Stegostoma tigrinum: one gene and its partners. The protein of the gene in region 1 interacts with the protein of each later gene in a biochemical or structural test. Links are inferred from orthologs where the notes say so. Each region holds a gene or a part of one and is shown in the gene's direction. Other genes may lie near its edges.

What was found. The genes of interacting proteins can lie anywhere in the genome.
Region 2: the proteins of cdc42 (region 1) and ncf2 form a complex in vitro, tested with the Homo sapiens proteins (2 studies listed by BioGRID and IntAct). The link is inferred for Stegostoma tigrinum from reciprocal best matches to the Homo sapiens genes CDC42 and NCF2.
Region 3: the proteins of cdc42 (region 1) and pak1 form a complex in vitro, tested with the Homo sapiens proteins (11 studies listed by BioGRID and IntAct, with this or other methods). The link is inferred for Stegostoma tigrinum from reciprocal best matches to the Homo sapiens genes CDC42 and PAK1.

The regions. Positions count from the first base shown.
Region 1 is NC_081381.1:37,037,606-37,044,383, reverse strand, and holds the start of cdc42 (cell division control protein 42 homolog), read left to right. Parts: upstream 1-2,995; 5' UTR 2,996-3,111; intron 3,112-6,778. UniProt on the Homo sapiens protein: Plasma membrane-associated small GTPase which cycles between an active GTP-bound and an inactive GDP-bound state. In active state binds to a variety of effector proteins to regulate cellular responses. Involved in epithelial cell polarization processes.
Region 2 is NC_081361.1:45,929,900-45,936,677, reverse strand, and holds the start of ncf2 (neutrophil cytosol factor 2), read left to right. Parts: upstream 1-2,180; 5' UTR 2,181-2,562; coding exon 2,563-2,736; intron 2,737-6,765; coding exon 6,766-6,778. UniProt on the Homo sapiens protein: Subunit of the phagocyte NADPH oxidase complex that mediates the transfer of electrons from cytosolic NADPH to O2 to produce the superoxide anion (O2(-)).
Region 3 is NC_081359.1:105,737,112-105,743,889, forward strand, and holds the start of pak1 (serine/threonine-protein kinase PAK 1), read left to right. Parts: upstream 1-2,358; 5' UTR 2,359-2,566; exon of another isoform or gene 2,567-2,693; intron 2,694-6,778. UniProt on the Homo sapiens protein: Protein kinase involved in intracellular signaling pathways downstream of integrins and receptor-type kinases that plays an important role in cytoskeleton dynamics, in cell adhesion, migration, proliferation, apoptosis, mitosis, and in vesicle-mediated transport processes.

The DNA.
Region 1 (6,778 bases):
AAAATGGACATTTCTGTCCGAGTTTCTGTTCTGAAAATTAGAAGGTGGTTACCCACAACCCATAACTATTCCAGTTCAGATTGGCAGATGATGTGGGGACACATGAGGATCAAGGTGTGGGTCATATCCAAGCAAAAACAAGACAGAATGAGACAAAGATAATAAAATGTGAGGCTGGATGAACACAGCAGGCCAAGCAGCATCTCAGGAGCACAAAAGCTGACGTTTCGGGCCTAGACCCTTCATCAGAGGGTAAATGAGGGGGGAGGATGAAGGGTCTAGGCCCGAAACGTCAGCTTTTGTGCTCCTGAGATGCTGCTTGGCCTGCTGTGTTCATCCAGCCTCACATTTTATTATCTTGGAATCTCCAGCATCTGCAGTTCCCATTATCTCAGAATGAGACAAAGTTGGGCGAGGGCAAAAGGGAAAGAAATACCTCATTGGTTTTCTTTCATTGACTCTTTGATAAAGTTTACAAGACATGGAAGCTGAGGCACTGCTATCAAGTTGACATCGTTCAGGCCTTCAGAGAAGGAAATCAGTAGGTTTTACATGATAAGGCCTAGAGAAGATCGGCAAGGCTACGTGTAGAACAGCAGGAGATGGACAAGATACTAAATGAGTATTTCACATTAGTGTTTACTCTGGAATAGGACATGGAAGCTAGAGAACACGGGGAAATAAATAGTGAAATCTTGTAAAGTGTCCATATTACGGGGGGGGGGGGGGAGCTGCTGGATGTCTTAAAATGCATAAAGGTGGATAAAATCCCGGGGCCTGGTCAGGTGTACGCTCGAACTCAGTGGGAAGCTAGGGAAGTGACTGCTGGGCCCCGTGTGGAGAAATTTATATCATTAATGACCACAGGAGAGGTTCCAGAAGACTATAGGTTTGCTAACGTAGTGCTATTATTTAAAAAAGGTGGTAAGGAAAAGCCAAGGAACTGTAGTTCAGTAAGCTTGATATCACTATTAAACCCGACAATGCGGTGGGGGGGGGGGGGGGGGGGGGGGAGGGGGTGCATGGTGGTAGTACGGTAAATTGACCTGTACATCGCTGAGGCCAGATGCTGACTCTCTGACACCTCCTCCTCATCACCTCAATCATGACCTCACCTCTGATCACCTAGCCAGCACCTCTCAAACCATCAACAACCTCATCACTATGGGAGATCTCCAGTCCACAGCCTCCAACCTTCACCAACACCTTTCAACTTGCTCTTAAATTCATCTGGACCATTTCTGACACCTCTTTCCCCTTCCTGGACCACTCCATCTCCATCTCCGAAAACCAACTCACCAGTGACATCCATTTCAAACCTACTGACTCCCATAGCTAACTCAACTACATCTCCCCACATCCACCCTCCCGCAAAAATGCTATCCCATACTCTCAATTTCTCCTCCTCCACCATATCTGCTCCCAGGATGAGATATTTTTCTCCAGAACCTCCCAGATATCCTCCTACTTCAGGGGCGGGCAGTGTGGCTAAACGAAGAGAACTTGGGAGGCATATTCATAGTTCCTTGAAAGTGGAGTTGAAGGTAGACAGGACAGTGAAGAAGGTGCTTGGTGTGTTTGCCATTATTGATCAATGTATTGAATATAGGAGTTGAGAGGTCATGCTGTGGCTGTATAAGACATTGATAGGCCACTTTTGGAATACTGCATTCAATTCTGGCCATCCTGCTATAGGAAAGAGGTTATGAAACTTGAAAGGGTTCAGAAAAGATTTATGAGGATATTGCAAGGGTTGGAGAGTTTGAGCTACAAGGACAGACTGAATAGGATGGGGCTACTTTTCTTGGAGTGTCAGAGGCTGAGTTGTGATTTTAAAGAAGTTTATTAAATCATGAGGGGCATAGATAGGGTGAACAGCCAAGGCCTTTCTCCAAGGCAGGGGAATCCAAAATTAGAAGGCATAGGTTTAAAGTGAGAGGGGAATGATGTAAAAGGAGCAACATTTTCACAGAGTGTTGTGCATGGATCAAATGAGCTGCCAGAGGAAGTGGGGGAGGCTGGTACAATCACAACATTTAAAAGGCATCTAGATGGGTATATGAATACGAATGGTTTCGAGGGATATAGGCCAAATACTGTCAAATGGGACTGGATTAATTTGAAATATCTGGTTGGCATGGATGAGTTGGACCGAAGGGTTTTTTCCATGCTGTGAATCTCTATGTGTCTACATGACTGCAGTCCCAGGGAAAAAGCAATGGTTGACTATTAACTGCACTCTGAAGTGCAAATTGCAGCTGCTCCAAATCGCAGCCTGTAGTGGTTCAAAGAGGCTACCATTCTCCTTTTCAGGGCAACATGGAATGGGCAATTAGTGCTGTCTTTACCAGTGATACTTATGTCCTGAAGGTATATTAATGGAGAAAGAGTCCACCATGTTTTGAAGCAAAAGCAGTTATCACTTTGAGCAGATATGGACTATGCCTATGGGAATAGGTGCTTCACTTTCTCTAACTAACAGAATCAAGGCCTGGTTGGTCTTGGTCAGTGGCTGTAACGCTTAATCCCAACAAGAGGCAACATTTTCAGGACAGGGTGGGGGCACCTAATCTACTCCTCTGATCCCTAATGCAATCTTCAGATCCATTTTTCTGATCTCATATCCACACTCCTGATCCCCGAGCCATTCCTCTGATCCCTGGGCCTGTCCTTTGATCTCTGATGCAATCTTCAGATCCATTTTCCTGATCCCAGATCCACTGTTCTGATCCCTGAACCAGTCCTCTGATCTCTGATGCAATCTTCAGATCCATTTTCCTGATCCCAGATCTCTCCTGATCCCTGAGCCAGTCCTCTGATCTCTGATGCAATCTTCAGATCCATTTTCCTGATCCCAGATCCACTCTCCTGATCCCTGAGACAGTCCTCTGATCTTTGATGCAATCTTCAGATCCCCTCTCCTGACCCCTAATTCACTCTCTTTACCCCTTGGAGAGAGCAGAGCCTGCGCAGACTGAGTGTGGTGACGTAAGACGTCTGGCTCAGCGGTGACGCCACCGCGACGTGCCCCTGCTGCAGTTTAAAGCAGATCCGGAGACCCCGTGCATTTGCCAACGCCCGGTGGAGACGGTCGGCTTTCGGGGGAAGGGGGTGAGTGAGGAATGGAGGGGCGGAGGGAGTGATAGACAGAGTGATGGAGGCTGTGAAAAGTGAAGGTGGGGAGGCGAATGGGAGGTGGCCGTGTGTTCTCTCAGTCCCTAGCCCGTGCCGCTATGTCAGGCCGTGAGCGGCTCGGCTCGGCTCGGCCCGGCCCTGCCGGGGCCTTGCTTCCTGCGCCGGGCTCTGGGGTTAGCTACCGTGGTGGGGCGGGGCGGTGCGTGCGGGAGCCGGGTCGGTGGAGTGGAGGGGCGTGGGGATGAAAAGCCTGGCCTGTTCGAAATGCGATCGATCCGGTACCCGGGTCTTTAGCCCCCCCGGTTTCCCCCAAGTGTGGGACCCGGTGTCGGGGCAGCGCCCTCCCGGCTCGAGCTGTTTCCCCTCTCCCGGGCGAGGCTTTTGGAACCTTGGGGTGGGGCTGTGTGACCCCGGCCAGGAGTTACCTGTCAGCTCGGTGCGGGGATGGTGGGGCGGCGAGGAGGGCCAAGCGATGTTTGCTGCTGCTGCATTTACTCAGGTCTCGCCGAATGCCGCAGTTTGGAGGCGGTTTCCTTCTGGAAATTCCAGCTACGATTTGACCTTAAACAGCATCCCTGCCTTTTTCGGGAGGGTGGGGGGAGAGAGTGATTTACTGAAAATTAAAACTATCGATCAGAAATGGGTTTCCTGCTTTTGGTATTGCTCAGAAATACAAAGCATTTAAAGAGGAAGTCAAGAGGGTGTGATATCTCAATATTGCCCGCTTCCTTTTGAATAAGGTTTATTTTGCAGGTTGGGGAGAAATCAAAATGAGACAAGCCTGAAGAATTAATCAGTGCACTTTTGTCATTTGGATGTCACTTAATGTTCAAATATTTACAGGTTTTTTCCATGTTTTCAGTTGTTGTGATGCTCTTGCAATGAGTTTTTGGTCCAGGTAGTACATTATACAGAAAATGTTCTGTCAACTGTTTAGGGATTTTGCTGCAGTGAAGCTGCACTGCTACTGGAAACAATAGGGCTGTCTGAAAAGCTAGACTCTATTTTCCATGGAATCATAGATCCTGTGCACTACTTACAGCCTGCAGTAGGGCCTTTCTGCTCAAAATGGTTGCTGCCCCTCTGTCACAGATCTTAAAAAGAAGTGATAATGGGAACTGCAGATGCTGGAGAGTCCACGATAACTGTGGACCTGGATGAATGCAGCAGGCCAAGCAGCATCTCAGGAGCACAAAAGCTGATGTTTTGGGCCTAAACCCCTCTGATGAAGGGTCTAAGTCCAAAACATCAGCTTTTGTGCTCCTGAGATGCTGCTTGGCCTGCTGTGTTCATCCAGGTCCACACTTTGTTATCTTAAAAAGAAGTGATATTCCTTCAGTTGCTGATATCCCCCAGTGTTATAGTTGTAATATGGGGATTGTAGGTTTCCTTCTCCAGTGACTTGTTTCTGAATCACCAGTCATAGATTGTGAAACTGATAAGCTGAGGACAGTTGTACTTTATCATTGCTTTACTATGCCACCAAATCACTCAGCAGTATTAGTAAGACATTGAATTGTTCTTGTCTTTGCTGCATTCTTCTGAGGAAGAGTTTCCTGGGCTGAGAATTCTATTTATAGATCTGATCCAGTTTGAAATCATTTTGATATGTGCATTTGGGATGGCATATGTTATTTTGTTTGGTACAGACTGTTTTCAGTAACAGGAAGTCTGCAACAGTGCTTCAGCTAATCTGTTTTAATTGTTACTGAATCCACAGTCTCTGAAAATGGGTTAGGTTTAGTTTTTTTTTGGTGTCTTAGTTGAATTAATGTTCACTAGCATTGTTGTAACCAGAGTTCAAACTGGAAGCCAGAGCTAATCCTGAAATGGAAACAGAATGCTGCAAATAATTGAGCAGTAACAAAATGAAGAGAAACAGTTTTTGAGTATCTGACTTTCATATGAACAAATCGTTAATCTGAATCATTAACACTCCCTGTCCACGGTTGCTGTCTGACTTGTGTATTTCAGTTTTTAATCCATCCAGCATCTGTATGCTTGTACAGTATTTGAATTTCCTGAGTGTCTGCCCTTAGCTGGGAAGGGGGAGTTAGACCTTGCAAGGCTAAGCCAGCAAGAATATAGGCATATAAGAATCTGCTAATTCTGTATCAACTTTTTAAAATGTTAGGTCAACATTGGTCAATGGTCATCTGACTATTTGCTTTTCAATGTGGAAACTCTTTTATAAATCAGCCTAAGATCTGTGAGAGTAATTGAGAACTGTCTGTTGATTTAATATTAAAGAAGGTTCTCTTCCCCAAGGGAGAATTATGGAATTTTGAATGTGCTGCACCATTGAGTTCATTGTTTTGCATTGCTTCAGTTAAGCTGTCTGATAGGACAGTTCCCCTGTTGTTTGTTTTATTTTGCTGTAATCTTGCAAATTTAAGTCCTTCAAATATTTCAGTTCACTTGTAAATTTCAAAAATACTAAGTTGTATTTGTAAGTACATCTTGGGTAAGACTTCAACCTGTATCTGCTTGTTCAAATATTTCAAGAGTTGTCTTGCATCAAATTTACATCATGATCAAGTTTTCTTCCATAATTTAAAGGAACAAATTCACTATTTTATCATGGAGATACTTGCATAATCGGTAAAGTTGGTACAGTGGTGCCATGTCTTGATCTGCTTTAGTGACTATGAAAGCAAAAACGAAATGTCTTGCCAGTGTCTTAAGCCCAGTTTCCTGTGAGGAGGTTTTACTCTAGCTGTGGTTCAGATCTTTGCTATATCTGATTCTTGTTTCACTGTACCTTTAAAACTGTCATTGTTTTCAGGTAATAGTGCATTTTTACCTACTTTCAAGTTTTTGTTGCAATCCAATGCATTTATTTCCATTGGTTGGACTGTCTTTTTGCTTTATTAGAAATTAGTAGTGCAGCATTGCAGACAAATAATTTGGTTATGTTCAAGTTTCAAATTCTATCCTGGGAACTGTTCCCTGCAAACAAGGCAGCATTGAGACAAATGTTTGAAAATTACCACAGTAGGTTGCTGCAGGGAAGTCTCATAGTTTCTGTACTACTACGTGGCTGGGATTCTCTTTTTTTAAAAAAAAATCTGAGTAACTGCTACAGACTTGTTCAGGGCTGGTGGAATTTGCTGGTTTCAACTTGAATATAGCCTCCAGTTCTAAAATTGAGTTCTTCTATCTATTTCCTGTTGGAGCAATGAGTAGAAAGGCATGCAGTCTTGATTCTCTGCATCACTGATTTTATGAAGAAAAGCAACTGTCTCCAGTTGCCTTCTCTGTTCCCATTGCAGTGTGGAAGCTGAATAAGAACTCACTTGTAGTTTAGACCTCAAATTGTAAACTTGTACTGTTAATGTAACTCTTTAGTTACAGGATGCTTCAGATTTTCTCCGCTTATCTTTGTTGAAACTTTGTTGACCTAGATTCAGTTTCTAATAGTCCTGGGCGGATATCCTGTTGCTAGTCGGGAAGTGCACCTGTTTTCAGCAGTTAGCTTCTTGTGCCTCTATGATGGCTCCCAAGCATGAGTTTTATGTGCGTTTTATTAGTATGGATTTTTCTTGCATCTCCAAGCTGTGGGCATCACAAATATTAGGAATTTTTGTTTTACTGTGGTTTTTTTAAACTGAACTTTGTAGTGACTGAATTTTGCTTGCATTTT
Region 2 (6,778 bases), on another chromosome or scaffold:
TAGTCTACAGTGTCACAGAGAGGAGAGATCAGCACCATATTCTACAGTGGGACAGACAGGAGAGATCAGCACCATCGTCTACAGTGTCACAGAGAGGAGAGATCAGCACCATCGTCTACAGTGGGACAGGCAGGAGAGATCAGCTCCTTAGTCTACAGTGGGACAGACAGGAGAGATCAGCACCATCGTCTACAGTGTGAGAGACAGGACAGATCAACACCATAGTCTACAGTGGGACAGACAGGAGAGATCAGCACCTTAGTCTACAGTGTCACACAGAACAGAGATCAGCACCATAGTCTACAGTGGGACAGAGAGGAGACACCAGCACTATAGTCTACAGTGTCACAGAGAGGAGAGGTCAGCACCTCAGTCTACAGTGGGACAGACAGGAGAGATCAGCACCATAGTCTAGTGTCACAGAGAGGAGAGATCAGCACCATAGTCTACAGTGGGACAGACAGGAGAGATCAGCTCCTTAGTCTACAGTGTCACAGAGAGGAGAGATCAGCACCATAGTCTACAGTGGGACAGACAGGAGAGATCAGCACCATAGTCTACAGTGTCACAGACAGGAGAGATCAGCACCATAGTCTACAGTGTCACAGACAGGAGAGATCAGCACCATAGTCTACAGTGGGACAGGCAGGAGAGATCAGCTCCTTAGTCTACAGTGTCACAGAGAGGAGAGATCAGCACCATATTCTACAGTGGGACAGACAGGAGAGATCAGCACCATAGTCTACAGTGTCACAGAGAGGAGAGATCAGCACCATAGTCTACAGTGTCACGGATAGGTGAGATCAGCACCCTAGTCTACAGTGTCACAGATAGGAGAGATCAGGACCATAGTCTACAGTGTCACGGATAGGTGAGATCAGCACCATAGTCTACAGTGGGACAGACAGGAGAGATCAGCACCTTAGTCTACAGTGTCACAGAGAGCAGAGATCACCACCATAGTCTACAGTGTGAGAGACAGGAGAGATCAGCACCATAGTCTACAGTGTCACAGAGAGGAGAGATCAGCATCATAGTCTACAGTGTGAGAGACAGGAGAGATCGGCACCATAGCCTACAGTGTACAAACTTTGGAAAAAGGAATACAGGCATGGACAATTGTCTAAATGGTGAGAAAATTTGTAAAGCAGAAGTACAAAGTGATCTGGGAGTGTTGGTCCAGGATTCTCTAAAGGTTAACTTGCAGGTAGGGTCCGTGATTAAGAAAGCGAATGTAATGTTGTCGGTTATCTCAAGAGGGCTGGAATATAAAAGCAGTGACGTGTTTCTGAGACTTTATAAAGCTCTAGTTGGACCCTATTTAGAATGCTGTGTCCAATTTTGGCCCCCACACCTCAGGAAGGACAAACTGGAGCTGGAGCATGTCCAGTGGAGATTTACATGGATGATCCGTGGAATGGTTGGCCTAACATACGATGAACGGCTGAGGATCCCTGGGATTGTATTCATTAGAGTTTAGAAGGTTGAGGGGAGATCTAATAGAAACTTACAAGATAATGTATGGTTTAGAAGGGGTAGACGCTAAGACGTTGTTTCTATTAGGAGGGGAGACTAGGACCCACGGGCACAGCCTTAGAATTAGAGGCGGTAAATTTAAAACAGAAATGAGGAGACATTTCTTCAGCCAGAGTGTGGTGGGCCTGTGGAATTCATTGCCACGGAGTGCAGTGGAGGCCGGGACGTTGGATGCCTTCAAGGCAGAGATCGATAAACTCTTGATCTCACAAGGAATCAAGGGCTACGGGGAGAGTGCAGGGAAGTGGAGTTGAAACGCCCATCAGCCATGATTTAAATGGCGGAGTGGACTCGATGGGCCGAATGGCCTTAATTCCACTCCTACGTCTTATGGTCTTAAATCTACATCGGGGGGTGCAAAGGGAATCTATGACAATGCTACTCACCAAATCTTAGCGCTTTTTTGCTTTTCTTTGTGATTGGAAATGATGTCCCTTCAGTACTTTGTTAGCTGCGCATTTGGTCTGTCTGTAATGGCCTCCCTGTTTGTTGACGATGTTACTGTTGTCAGGGAAATATAGAGGCGGTGTCTGAAGCGTCAGTCTGACAGCTGCTGGAACACAAACTGCCCAGAGTTAAATTTTTTAGCCAGCCGTTTCCAGCATCGAAAATACTTGATTTAGAAGTTTGCAACAGGAAACTAAAATACAAAACATATAAAAATATTTGTGGAAGGTGCGGGAGGATTGGTAAATCAATTAATTTGCCTTTAGACTGTTATAATCTCTCTTATGTTCATGGTAAGGTTTGGATTTGTCAGACCGTTCACATCTCCACAGGACTTGCAGCCACTATATCAAAAGGCAATGTCAGTGAGTTAACTTCCTATGAAACTGGTCTAGTCACAGCTAAAGTTGGGCTCATGGTCACATTTCCTGTAGTATTTCTATAGCGTATTCAGTCAAGCGGAGGAAGCAGACGGTAAAAGAAGCAGTGCGTTGAAATTAGTTGCTGGTTTAGCCAGTGCATACAAACCACGCTATTTCACGCGCTGCAGCTTGTATACATTAAACGGCCGGGCTCAGTATGTCTCTAACAGACACCATCAAATTATGGGATGAAGGCATTACTGCAGCAGACCGCCAGGAGTGGCTAACCGCACTCAACCTGTTCACCACTATACTCGAGCCCAGCTCCAAAATCTGTTTCAACATCGGCTGCCTGCATCTCCTCCGCAGAGAATGGAGCCAGGCTGAGAAGGTAAGTTGCTGTCACAGTTCCACATTTTGAAGGTGTATTCGGAATTACTTGAAATGCTTCTGTTTTTATTCCAAGACATATCAAAATAACAAGAGGGTTACAATTCACTGATTAACATTGTAAACGCTGAGCAAAATATAACAAGTAGACATTTCATTTGAGAAGATTAAACCCACAAGAATAGTAGGAAACGTAGTTAGTTCGTGTTTTACAGGGAAGTGAAGCAGTTTGTTTATTGCTTTATGGAAACCAAAATGTACCGAAAAAGTGGAAATGAAACTGCTCATGACATATAAATCAATTTCACAATTTACTGGATATTAATCCAACAATTGTGTTACATTGGTGCAATTGTGAGTTCAGTTTTAATATAAATTAAAGAAAAGCAAAGATTTACAACAAACCCCATTGAAAATTACAAAGGGCAAAGGAATCAAAGGCATGTATCATTTTTCCTTCACGTGTCAGGCAGTGATCATCAACAAGAAAAATCTTCAGTACCTTCTCCTAATTCTCTACAATAATAACGCTGTGACTACAGAAAACTATTAGCTGCAATTCAACTCTTAACTTCACTCCAGCATTGTCACTGAATCAATCTCCTGCCATTTCCTACCAGGAGCATGATCAACCAAGCTATTTGTTCCTCATTTCCCTCAGAATCCTTTGATATATTTCATCAGGTCTCAGAATATTTAGATAACCAAACTTCTTTAATAGTTTCCTTTTATTTATGATGTTATTCAGCTCATGTTAACCCTATTCAGGATTTCTCTGCATTCCATGTTGTTAAACACTGAAATGAAACACTTGTTAACTATTCCTGCTAATTTCTACTTATCCTTCACTACCTCTGTATCCCGTCCCCTCAGAATCAACCTCACTTTTAAAAATTTACTCTTTATTACTGACACTCGCACACCACCTTACTGTTTGTCACGATGATATAAGAGTACGAAATATTAATCTGTAAATCTTATCAATGAATTTAAAAGCCATGGACTTTTGTCTTTGAGTGAACAGTTAATAATAAGTTTGGGATACCTTAAAATGGTTTTCAATGTCACCTGACCTGAAGGTAGCCAAGCTGCACTGGGATTTACAAAAGAATGTTTAAGAAACTTGGCTGACCATATTCCCGAAAATGTTATCTAAGGATAATTACCTGAACATCAAAATTCAGCATCTTCAATATGTAGCTCGCAATGAGATCTTCAAATGCCTTGGCAATGATTGAAATTGCAGAGATAATGGGGACTGCAGATGCTGGAGAATCCGAGATAACAAAAGCTGATGTTTCGGGCCTAGATCCTCTCTGATGAAGGGTCTAGGCCCGAAACGTCAGCTTTTGTGCTCCTGAGATGCTGCTTGGCCTGCTGTGTTCATTGAAATTGCAGATATTATTGGAACAACGAATTAAACCAAAACTTACTATGTAAAGAGGAGGATTGAACCACTGTTCCCCAAACCCCATCACCTGAACCTACAACAAGGGGAAACCGCAAACCTCTTTGAGAATTGATTAATCGTTATTGTGACCTAACAGCCAATGTTTACACATCGAAACATCACTTCTGTGTGGGGCCATGATGATTCGTTTGTGCTTGTTGCTAAAGAGGGCAGTAACATCCAGTCACATCAAAAGATGAAGAGCTTCCCTTTCACTGGACGTGGTGTGCCCAATTCTGTAAGATGATCAGATCTGATGAAAATACTGAATGTGCATACTTGCTGTACACAAATCCAGGACAACAGCAGAACCAGTTCAGTTGTAACCACCAGAACTTTAAAATCAACATCAGAAAATATAATCCTTCACCTGAGAACTGTAATCATTTCTCAATTCCAACCTCCCTCATCCTGTCCTTGTTCTGATTGCTCGCACATTTATGTATGTGTGTGTGTGTGTGTGAACGTGCATGCATGTGTGTGTGTGTGTGTGCATGTGTGTGTTTGTTTGTGTGTATGTTGGTGTGAGTTTGTGTGTTTCTGACATGGAATTCCAAGTTAGGTTATACCTTTTAAGTAATATTTATACTTCGTACTCAGTGAGTTTACAATAAAAAAGCCACTTCATTTTAACTAACTTAAAAGGATTTTCTGTCTTGTTTTTCATAGCTTTAATGCATAACCAAGCACATACTGAATTAGGGAAAAATACATTTGTTTAAAATTTAAAACATTGCTAAACCAAGAGCAAGAGGAAATGAGAAGAATTTGCCCACCCCTTTAGACTCGGTTGCAAGATGTTTAAAAATATTTTTTGAGATACACTCCTTACTTTCGTTTTATTCCACTCTCTCATGGGATGTGCGTGTTGCTGGCTGGCCAGTATTTATTGCCCTTCAGAAGGTGGTAGGGAGCTGCCTTCTTGAACCACTGCAGTCCATGTGCTGTAGCCTGACCCACAATGCCTTTTCAGAGGAAATTCCAGGATTTTGACCCAGGAACAGTGATGTAATTCCATGTCAGGATGACGAGTGGCTAGCAGGGGAATTTGCAGATGGTGGTGCTCTCGTGCATCTGTTGCCATTGTCATTCTAGATGGTACTGATCATGGGTTTGGAAGTTGCTACCTCAAGATCTTTGGTGAATTCCTGCAGTGTATCTTCTCGACAGTATACACTGCTGCTACTGAGAATCGATGGTAGAGGGAATGGATGTTCGTGGATGTGGTGCTAATCAATTGGGCTGCTTTGTCCTGGATGGTCAAGCTCCTTATTAATCTTGAAGGTTTTTTTTCTGTTTTATTCGAGTGTTTCCTAAATTTGACAAAAATTGTAAGCTCCATCAGACCTTCTTCAATTTTAGTTTGTTTTTAATCTCTTAATTTAGCATGATATGTATTTATTCTGCAACTATTTCTACAAGTAATCATAAAATAATCAGATAAAGGCAGAGGCTGGGAGCTGTGTAGCATTGCAATCTGACTGAGTGTCTGAGCCCAGCAGGAGGGGCAATTATCATTTCTCAAAGTGAAATTACAGATCAAGCAATCACAGGAGGAGGGTATTCTGGTGACTCTTATTTTTATTTAATCGAGAATAAAGTAAGAGTAGATCAGTTAAGTAGTATAAAAAAATTAAGCCAACTAATGTTTTGCTATTTAATTACTATCTGGATTCAATTCATTGTTCAGGTTCAGTGGATGAAGTTAAGTCCTGAAGAAGGGTAATTACCCGAAACATTGACAGCTCCTTTCCTCCAGATGCTGCCTGGCTTGGTGTGTTCTTCCAGCCTCCCATTTATCTACCTTTGGATTCCAGCATCTGCAGTTTTTTTTTGGTCTCTAATTAAGGCAATAATTATTTATTAAATAAAAGCAGACAGGGCACCTACAGCAGATGGGAACTACTAGGAGTTTCTTGTGTGCAGTAAGTATGGTCAGATCCAGCACTGAAATGAATGAATGCATGAACGAATTAATGAATGAATAATTTTGTTGTCACATGTATTTGGGAAAAACAGTGAAAAGTGTTTTCTGGCCACAATCTGGTGCCATTTCGTATTACAGAATTAATAAAAAGAAATTGCTTAAATAGAGGAAGGGACGCTCAATCCGAAATGTTAACTCCAATTCCTGTCCACAGATGCTGCCGGATCTGCTGAATCTTTCCAGCAATTTGCTTTTGTTTCTGATTTACGGCATCTGCAGTTCTTTCGGTTTTTATTTAAATAGAACTTCATCTTCTGTTCAATTGACAGAAAAATGTAAAGACAGAAAAATAAGAAATAATGCTTAACTTTACAGTCCTTCTTGTCAAGCACGACATCTCTGGCCTTTAGAGCTCAAGCAATTGCTGGAACCATTGCAATGTATCCATGTGGTTGAGAGATTTGTTAATAGCATGCTTCTGTTGTTCTGAGACAAAATATTTTGTTTTCCATGGAATAATTATTATTGCATGCGGGCTAAAATAAAACGGGCAATGAATCATTGCAAAACACCAAAGTACCTAAAGTAGAGCTGGGTTGTTTTAGGGGCATTTTGATTTTAAAAAAATGTAAAGTATACTCTTTACTCTCTAGGCATTTGATAAAA
Region 3 (6,778 bases), on another chromosome or scaffold:
CCTCCCACTTCCTACAGACAAAGGGGGTAGCAACTCATATTCCGCTTGGGAACCCTGCAGCCCAATGGTATCAATGTGGACTTCACCCACCGCATCCCAAAACCAGCCCAGCTCATCCCCTCCCCCCACTGCATCACAAAACCAGCCCAGCCTGTCTCTGCCTCCCTAACCTGTTCTTCCTCTCACCCATCCCTTCCTCCCACCTCAAGCCGCACCTCCATTTCCTACCTACTAACCTCATCCCACCTCCTTGACCTGTCTGTCTTCCCTGGACTGACCTATCCCCTCCCTACCTCCCCACCTACACTCTCCTCTCCACCTATCTTCTTTTCTCTCCATCTTCGGTCCGCCTCCCCCTCTCTCCCTATTTATTCCAGAACCCTCACCCCATCCCCCTCTCTGATGAAGGGTCTAGGCCCGAAACGTCAGCTTTTGTGCTGAGATGCTGCTTGGCCTGCTGTGTTCATCCCGCTTCACACTTTATTAACTACTGGCAAAGTTGCCTGGACCCACAACTAGTGGCAGCTGTCACTATGGCGATGGTGTAGTCCTGCCAACCATTGCTTTGTCTACTTGGCAATGATGTGGATGTGCTGGTGTTGGATTGGGGTGGGCGATACGATGGCTAAGTGGTTAGCACTGCTGCCTCACAGCACCATGGACCTGGGTTCAATTCCAGCCTTGGGCGACTGTCTGTGTGGAGTTTGTACATTCTCCCTGTGTCTGTGTCAATTTCCTCCAGGTGCACTGGTTCCCTCCCCAAGATGTGCAGGTTACGTGGATTGGCCTTACTAAATTGCCCATAGTGTTCAGAGATGTGTAATTTAAATGGATTAGCCATAGGAAATACAGGAATAGGTTATGAGGGTGAGTCTGGGTGGGATGCTCTTTGGAGAGTCAGTGTGGACTTGTTGGGCTGAATGGCCTGTTTCCACACTGTAGGGATTCTATGAATCTCAGTCAGATGAAGGAGCAGCCATCCAAAAACTTGTGATTTCAAATAAACCTGTTGGACTATAGCCTGGTGTCATGTGACTTCTGATTTTGTCTACATGGCAAGACTGCTGTCCTGCAAATCTTCCACCATGATAATGCAGGGTTATTGATCAAATGTCAACTCTGTTCCTAGACCTAGCGAATAATTCCATTACAAACTGTTCACATCAGATTTTCTTTTTTATTTACTTGTGCTGGGCCAGCATTTATTGTGCATCCCCAGTTTCCCATCACAGGGTGGTGATGAGCTGTCTGCTTGAACCACTGCACTTCATTTTCGTAGGTTGACCCATAATACTGTTAGGGAGAGAATCCCAGAATTTTGACTCAGTGATACTGAAGAAACAGCAATATGTTTCTGAATCAGGATGGCAAGTGGCTTAGAGGGGACCTGGTAGGTGGTGGTGTGACCATGTATCTGCTGCTCTCGTCCTTCACAATGGAACTGGTTGTGAGTTTTGAGGGAACTCTAGTGATTGGACCAGATGGACCTTGTTGACTATGAGTACCTTGACTGTGGTTCTTAAACTGGGCCAATCAGGAGCCACTAGCTGACCAATTTTAACGGGGGATTCAGAATCTCCTCAGGTCAGGGGGGCTGATTCTGAGCTGGCTGGCCACAGCCGACCGTGCACAGGTAAATTTGGGATAACAAAGTGTGGAGCTGGATGAACATGTGTTCCTAAGATGCTGCTTGGCCTGCTGTGTTCATCCAGCTCCACACTTTGTTATCCCGAATTTACCTGTGCACGGTCGGCTGTGGCCAGCCAGCTCAGAATCAGCCCCCCGATATCTCGGATTCTCCAGCATCTGCAGTTATCTCTGATACAGGTAAATTCGGGACGACTTGGTGATAGGACACTGGCCTCTGTGCAATTATTTCAGGAACAAAACTGAAATGTTCTGAAGAAGAGTCAGGGGAACTGAAATGTTCTGAAGAAGAGTCAGGGGACCTGAAAACTCTGCTTCTCTCCACAGTTGTTGCCAGATTTGTTGAGTTTTTGTCTTTGTTTCTGCTTTCCAATATCTGCAGTTCTTTGGTATGTTTGTGGGTTTTGAAAGTGCTGTTGCAGGATCTTTGGTGAATTTTCCTACAGATGGTTGCGAATGTCAGCACCTGCACCATTCTGCTATTAGCCTAAATTCTTGCAGAGAGGAATAGTTTCAAAACACACCCACTGCCCTGGCCCTTTAAGAAACTGCAATGATGTAATGCGCTGATCATGAAGCGAAGCCACTTCCGGTCCACTCGTCAATCAAACCTGCGTGACGAGGGGGCGGGGATGGTCTTTGATTGACGTGGGTTACAGCCAACTGAAGCCGGTGTTATGGGCGTGGGGACCAATAGGAAGTAGGAACACGTGGGGCGGACCTAGGCAGGTTAGGTTGAGCCGGCCGGCCTGACAACGAGAGGAGCGGCATCCAGCACCGGGCAGCGGGGAGTGAAGGATAGAAACAGAGCGTAAGAACAAACCAGCAGCGCCGCCGGGATCACAGCGACATCGCGAGAGACTACATTTGGAAGCGAACGAGGCCACTTACCCAGCTTCTCGTCAGCGGGCGGCGGGAGGTGAGGAACGTGTTTTTCGGCTCCCCTCCTCCTCCTTCACCCTAACTGACTTCGAACGGCAGATTCGAACCGTCCAACCAAGGGACGTTGGCGAACCGGCCCCGCCTCGCGCCTGCTGGCGACCGTCTCCGGGACAACCGCGCGCTCCCAGGGAGCCGTCGCCAGGGTAACGGCGGGCTCCTGGCAACCGTCACCGGGGCAACCGCGCGCGGCCTCCTCCACTGCTTTTCCCCCTTACCCGTTTCTTAGCGACCATCACTATGGAAACGGCGCGCGGGCCGCGAGTAGAATGTCGTGTGCTTCTGAAAACCCTTGCCATTCCGCCCAGTTCTCCCGTACTAGCCCTTGGGCGGAGTTGTCCAATTTGTCCTGATTTCCCTGCTGTTTCCACGCGGCCCTTTTAGCTAAGTCATTCGGGAATTTATTTTTCTGTTTTCGTTCTAATTTTAGGTAATAAATGCTTTCATCGTTTTCTTTTTGCCCAATTTTCCGTTGTCAAATGTGTCTCGTGTTCAGTGATCATTCTTACCACTGGAAGCACTTTCTCCTTATTGACTCAGTTTAAAAACTTTTTCATAATTTTGATTCCCTCTTTCATATCTCAGCCAGCCTCCTCTGCATAGCCGTGCAATCACAGATCCTCCAGTTACTTCGTAGAAGAAGATTCACTCACTCATTTGGTATCATTTCTAGCCCATTCTCTAGGACGAGAGTACCCTAGCCCTGTCCAACCTAACCTGTGGTTGATAAAAGATCTTGCATTATCTCCTTGATTGCATACTTTTCATCTAACAGCTTTGTTGTCTGTCCCAAATCCCGTTGAAGTGATACTGTTTACGTTTGTGGCATGTTGGAATAGATACAGCATAGAAGCAGGCTATTCGACCTGTTCTCACTCGCGTCCCTTTCCCAAAATAGCCTTGCAAATTATTCCTCTTCAGATACTAACCCATTACCTTTTGAAATACACAATTTCAATCTGCTTCTGCTGCACTCTTCGGTGGTGACTTTCACATCCTTCTATATTTTTCTGCTGATGTTACAATTAGTTTCTTGGTGTAATATTTTTGGACTAAATACTTGTGTTCAACTATATTGCTAGCTTCCATATTAAGGTCTGTTCCAGAGTGCTGATTGTGGTTTTTTGATTTGCTGAGACCTTTTTGTAGTTGGAAAGTAAAACTCCTCCTGATGTGACTGTTATTTATCAATGATACTCTGGTTCCAGACACGTTTCTGTGCTGTATACTATGATACCTCATCCATTTGTGTCTCCGACCTCTTTGACTTTGAATGTCATTAGTGGAGAGCATCTTCACAGTGCACTGTATTAAGAGCATTTTCAGGATAAAGCCCTACGTGAAATGTCTCATTGTTCAGACTCTTTTCCTGTCTTTTACCCATTCTTCTTTTCCTGATGAATGAAACTACAAAATAATGTCCCTTTTGTTACTTGTTTTACGCTCTTGAATGCTTCAGATGGAGGCATTGTTATGGCAAATATGCAAGTCCAGATTTTGCAGTTACTTAATTGTCTGCCACTTTGCATTATTGATGCAGTGGGGGACGGTGGGCTGGTGATTCCTTCCTAGTGTGACAGATAATGGAGCTGCTTCTTTATATGCCCTCCTGCCAAATCGCATTCATTTCAGCAAGGTTCACTTAGAGTCATGGAGATACACAGTAGGGAAACTGACCTTTCGGTCCAACTTGTCCATGCCAACCAGATATCCTGTGTAAATCTAGGAGATAGCAAGAACTGCAGATGCTGGAGTCGGAGACAACACCGTGTGGAGCTGGAGGAATGAAGCAGGTCAGGCAGCATCAGAGGAGCAGGAAAGTTGACATTTCAGGTCAAGACCCTTCAGATAATTTCTCCCTCTCCACTTTGTCCCTTTTAAATAATTTGCTGCTTTTGATTTGAGCACGGCCTGGATGAGTTTGGCACTGTTGTCATACACTACAAAAGGGAGCTAGTCACTTCTTTAAAAGGCTATCTGACTAGTCTCACTTCCCTGTTCAATTCCTGAAGCCTTGCACATTTTATCCTTGAAGTGTTTATCCAATTCAACTTTGAAAGTTGCCATTTTGTCTGCTTCCACTGTACAGACATTGCATGGACCACTGATTTTAATCTTTGTGATATTGCTCAATGTGGTCACTGTCTCACCTCCTCTGCTGAGGCCCTTAATGACTTTACATGCAAACCTACAGGTTAGGAGCAAGATTATACCACTCAGCACTGCATGTCTGCTCTGCCAGTCAACAATGACTACGCCACCTTCCTACCCCCAATAATATCTCACCCCTGTCCTTAGCAAGAACCTTATCCATGTCTGTCTTTAAAAGTTTCAAATGATCTGCTTCTACAGTTTTTAAATGAAGAGAGTTCCAAAAAACCTGTGACTCAGAAATATTTCTCTTTGGCTCTGACTTAAATGGGTGGCACGGTGGCACTGCTGGTTCACAGCGCCAGGAACCCGGGCTCGATTTCAATCTTGGGCGATTGTGCAAACTCCACACAGACATTCTCCTACTGTCTGCATGGGTTTCCTCCCACAGTGTAGACTAGGTGTTTGGCCTTACTAAATTGCCCATAGTGTACAAGGGTATGTGGGCTCACGGGGATACGGTAGGGGGCTGGGGTCTGGGTGTGGGTGGGATGCTCTTCAGAGAGCCAGTGTGGACTCAATAGGCCGAGTGGTCTGCTTCCACACAGAAGGGAGTTTATGATCCTGCTATGAAATGGTGACCCTGTATCTTTAAACAGTGTTTCCACACTGTAGAATTTCTATGACCCATTACATTTAGATTCTCCCATGAGGAAGCATCCTTTTCACAACATGCTGTAAAATCCCTTCTTTGTTACTTCTAGACACTTTTATTCCACACACTGCTAGCTGGTCTTCCACATTTTGGATATTTTCCAATCAACCTGGTCAGCAATGTTATTGAATAACTCAGGAGCAGGTGTGCCTTGAACCTGGGTCTTCTAGTCTGGAGCTAAGGAAACTACCTCAAAGCCATGTCTCTCCTATTCTGAGCCCTGAAAAACCTGCTTTCATGTGTTAACTTGCAGAAAGTCACATTCCCCTGTCAATCTTAAGTTCACTAAAATAGAAGCAAAATACTACGGCTGCGGGAAATCTGAAATAAATTCAGAAAGAAACTCAGCAGGTCTGGCAGTATCTGTGGAGAGAGAAACAGCTAAACATTTTAGTTTGAGTAATACTTTGCTTCACTTCTTTCTTAACTCTGGTTTTTCCCTGTCTGTTTCTCTGCAACATCCATCCAGAGATTCTGTGAGACCTGTCTTGTTTCTCCAGCATTTTTATTTTTATTTGCGTTCACTGACCTAAATTGACTCACCTCCATTCAAATTACATCCTGTTTTTAACATTTCTTCCTTGTTTTCAAATCCCTCTAGGGACTCCTCACATGTCCCTACCTCTGCAATCTCCTCCCGGTCCGTGAATGCTCAAGATTTCTGAACCTTTCCGATTCTGATATTGTGACGATCACTGTTTTTAACCTCTTTACATAGGTGGCTGCGTCATCAGATGCCTGGATCCTGACCTCTAGGGCTTCCTAAACCTCTTCCCACTTCAGACTTTGTCTTTCAGACACTACCAAAAGCAGAATTCTTTGACCATAATTTAGTCGCCTGACCTATTTCCTTATGATATCAATAATATTGTTTTATGCTCAAGTGAACCATCTCGGAATGTTTTATGATGTTAAGAGTGACATTTTTTAGAAAAAAAAAGTTGATATTGCTGGGAAGTGAATTCTAAGAATTGGTGACAGGATGAACAGCTTTAATCATTGGGGAGCAAAGAAGGTGAAGAGAAATTTTAAGAGAAGTCCATTGCCATGAAAGGTTTTGTTCTTAGTCGGAGAAATGCTTCTAATAGGAAAGTAACGGGGAAGAATTTTCTTTTTCCAAAACAGTTTCTCCTCTTCCCTTACTTATCCAATGAAAGCACTTCTGTCCTATGAACAAAACCTTTCATCTTTTAAATTCAAGTTTCTCTTAACCTTCTCTGTTCCGAAAAGGATGAAGCTAATCATCCCTGACGTCAAAGAAGTTTTAACAGTGAAGACAGTGGAGGAACAATGGTGGGTGTATAAGAAGATCTTTCATGGCTCTCAGCAAAGACATAGATTAGGCAAAATCACAGACCAAGATGGGATACACCTTTTAGGATATTA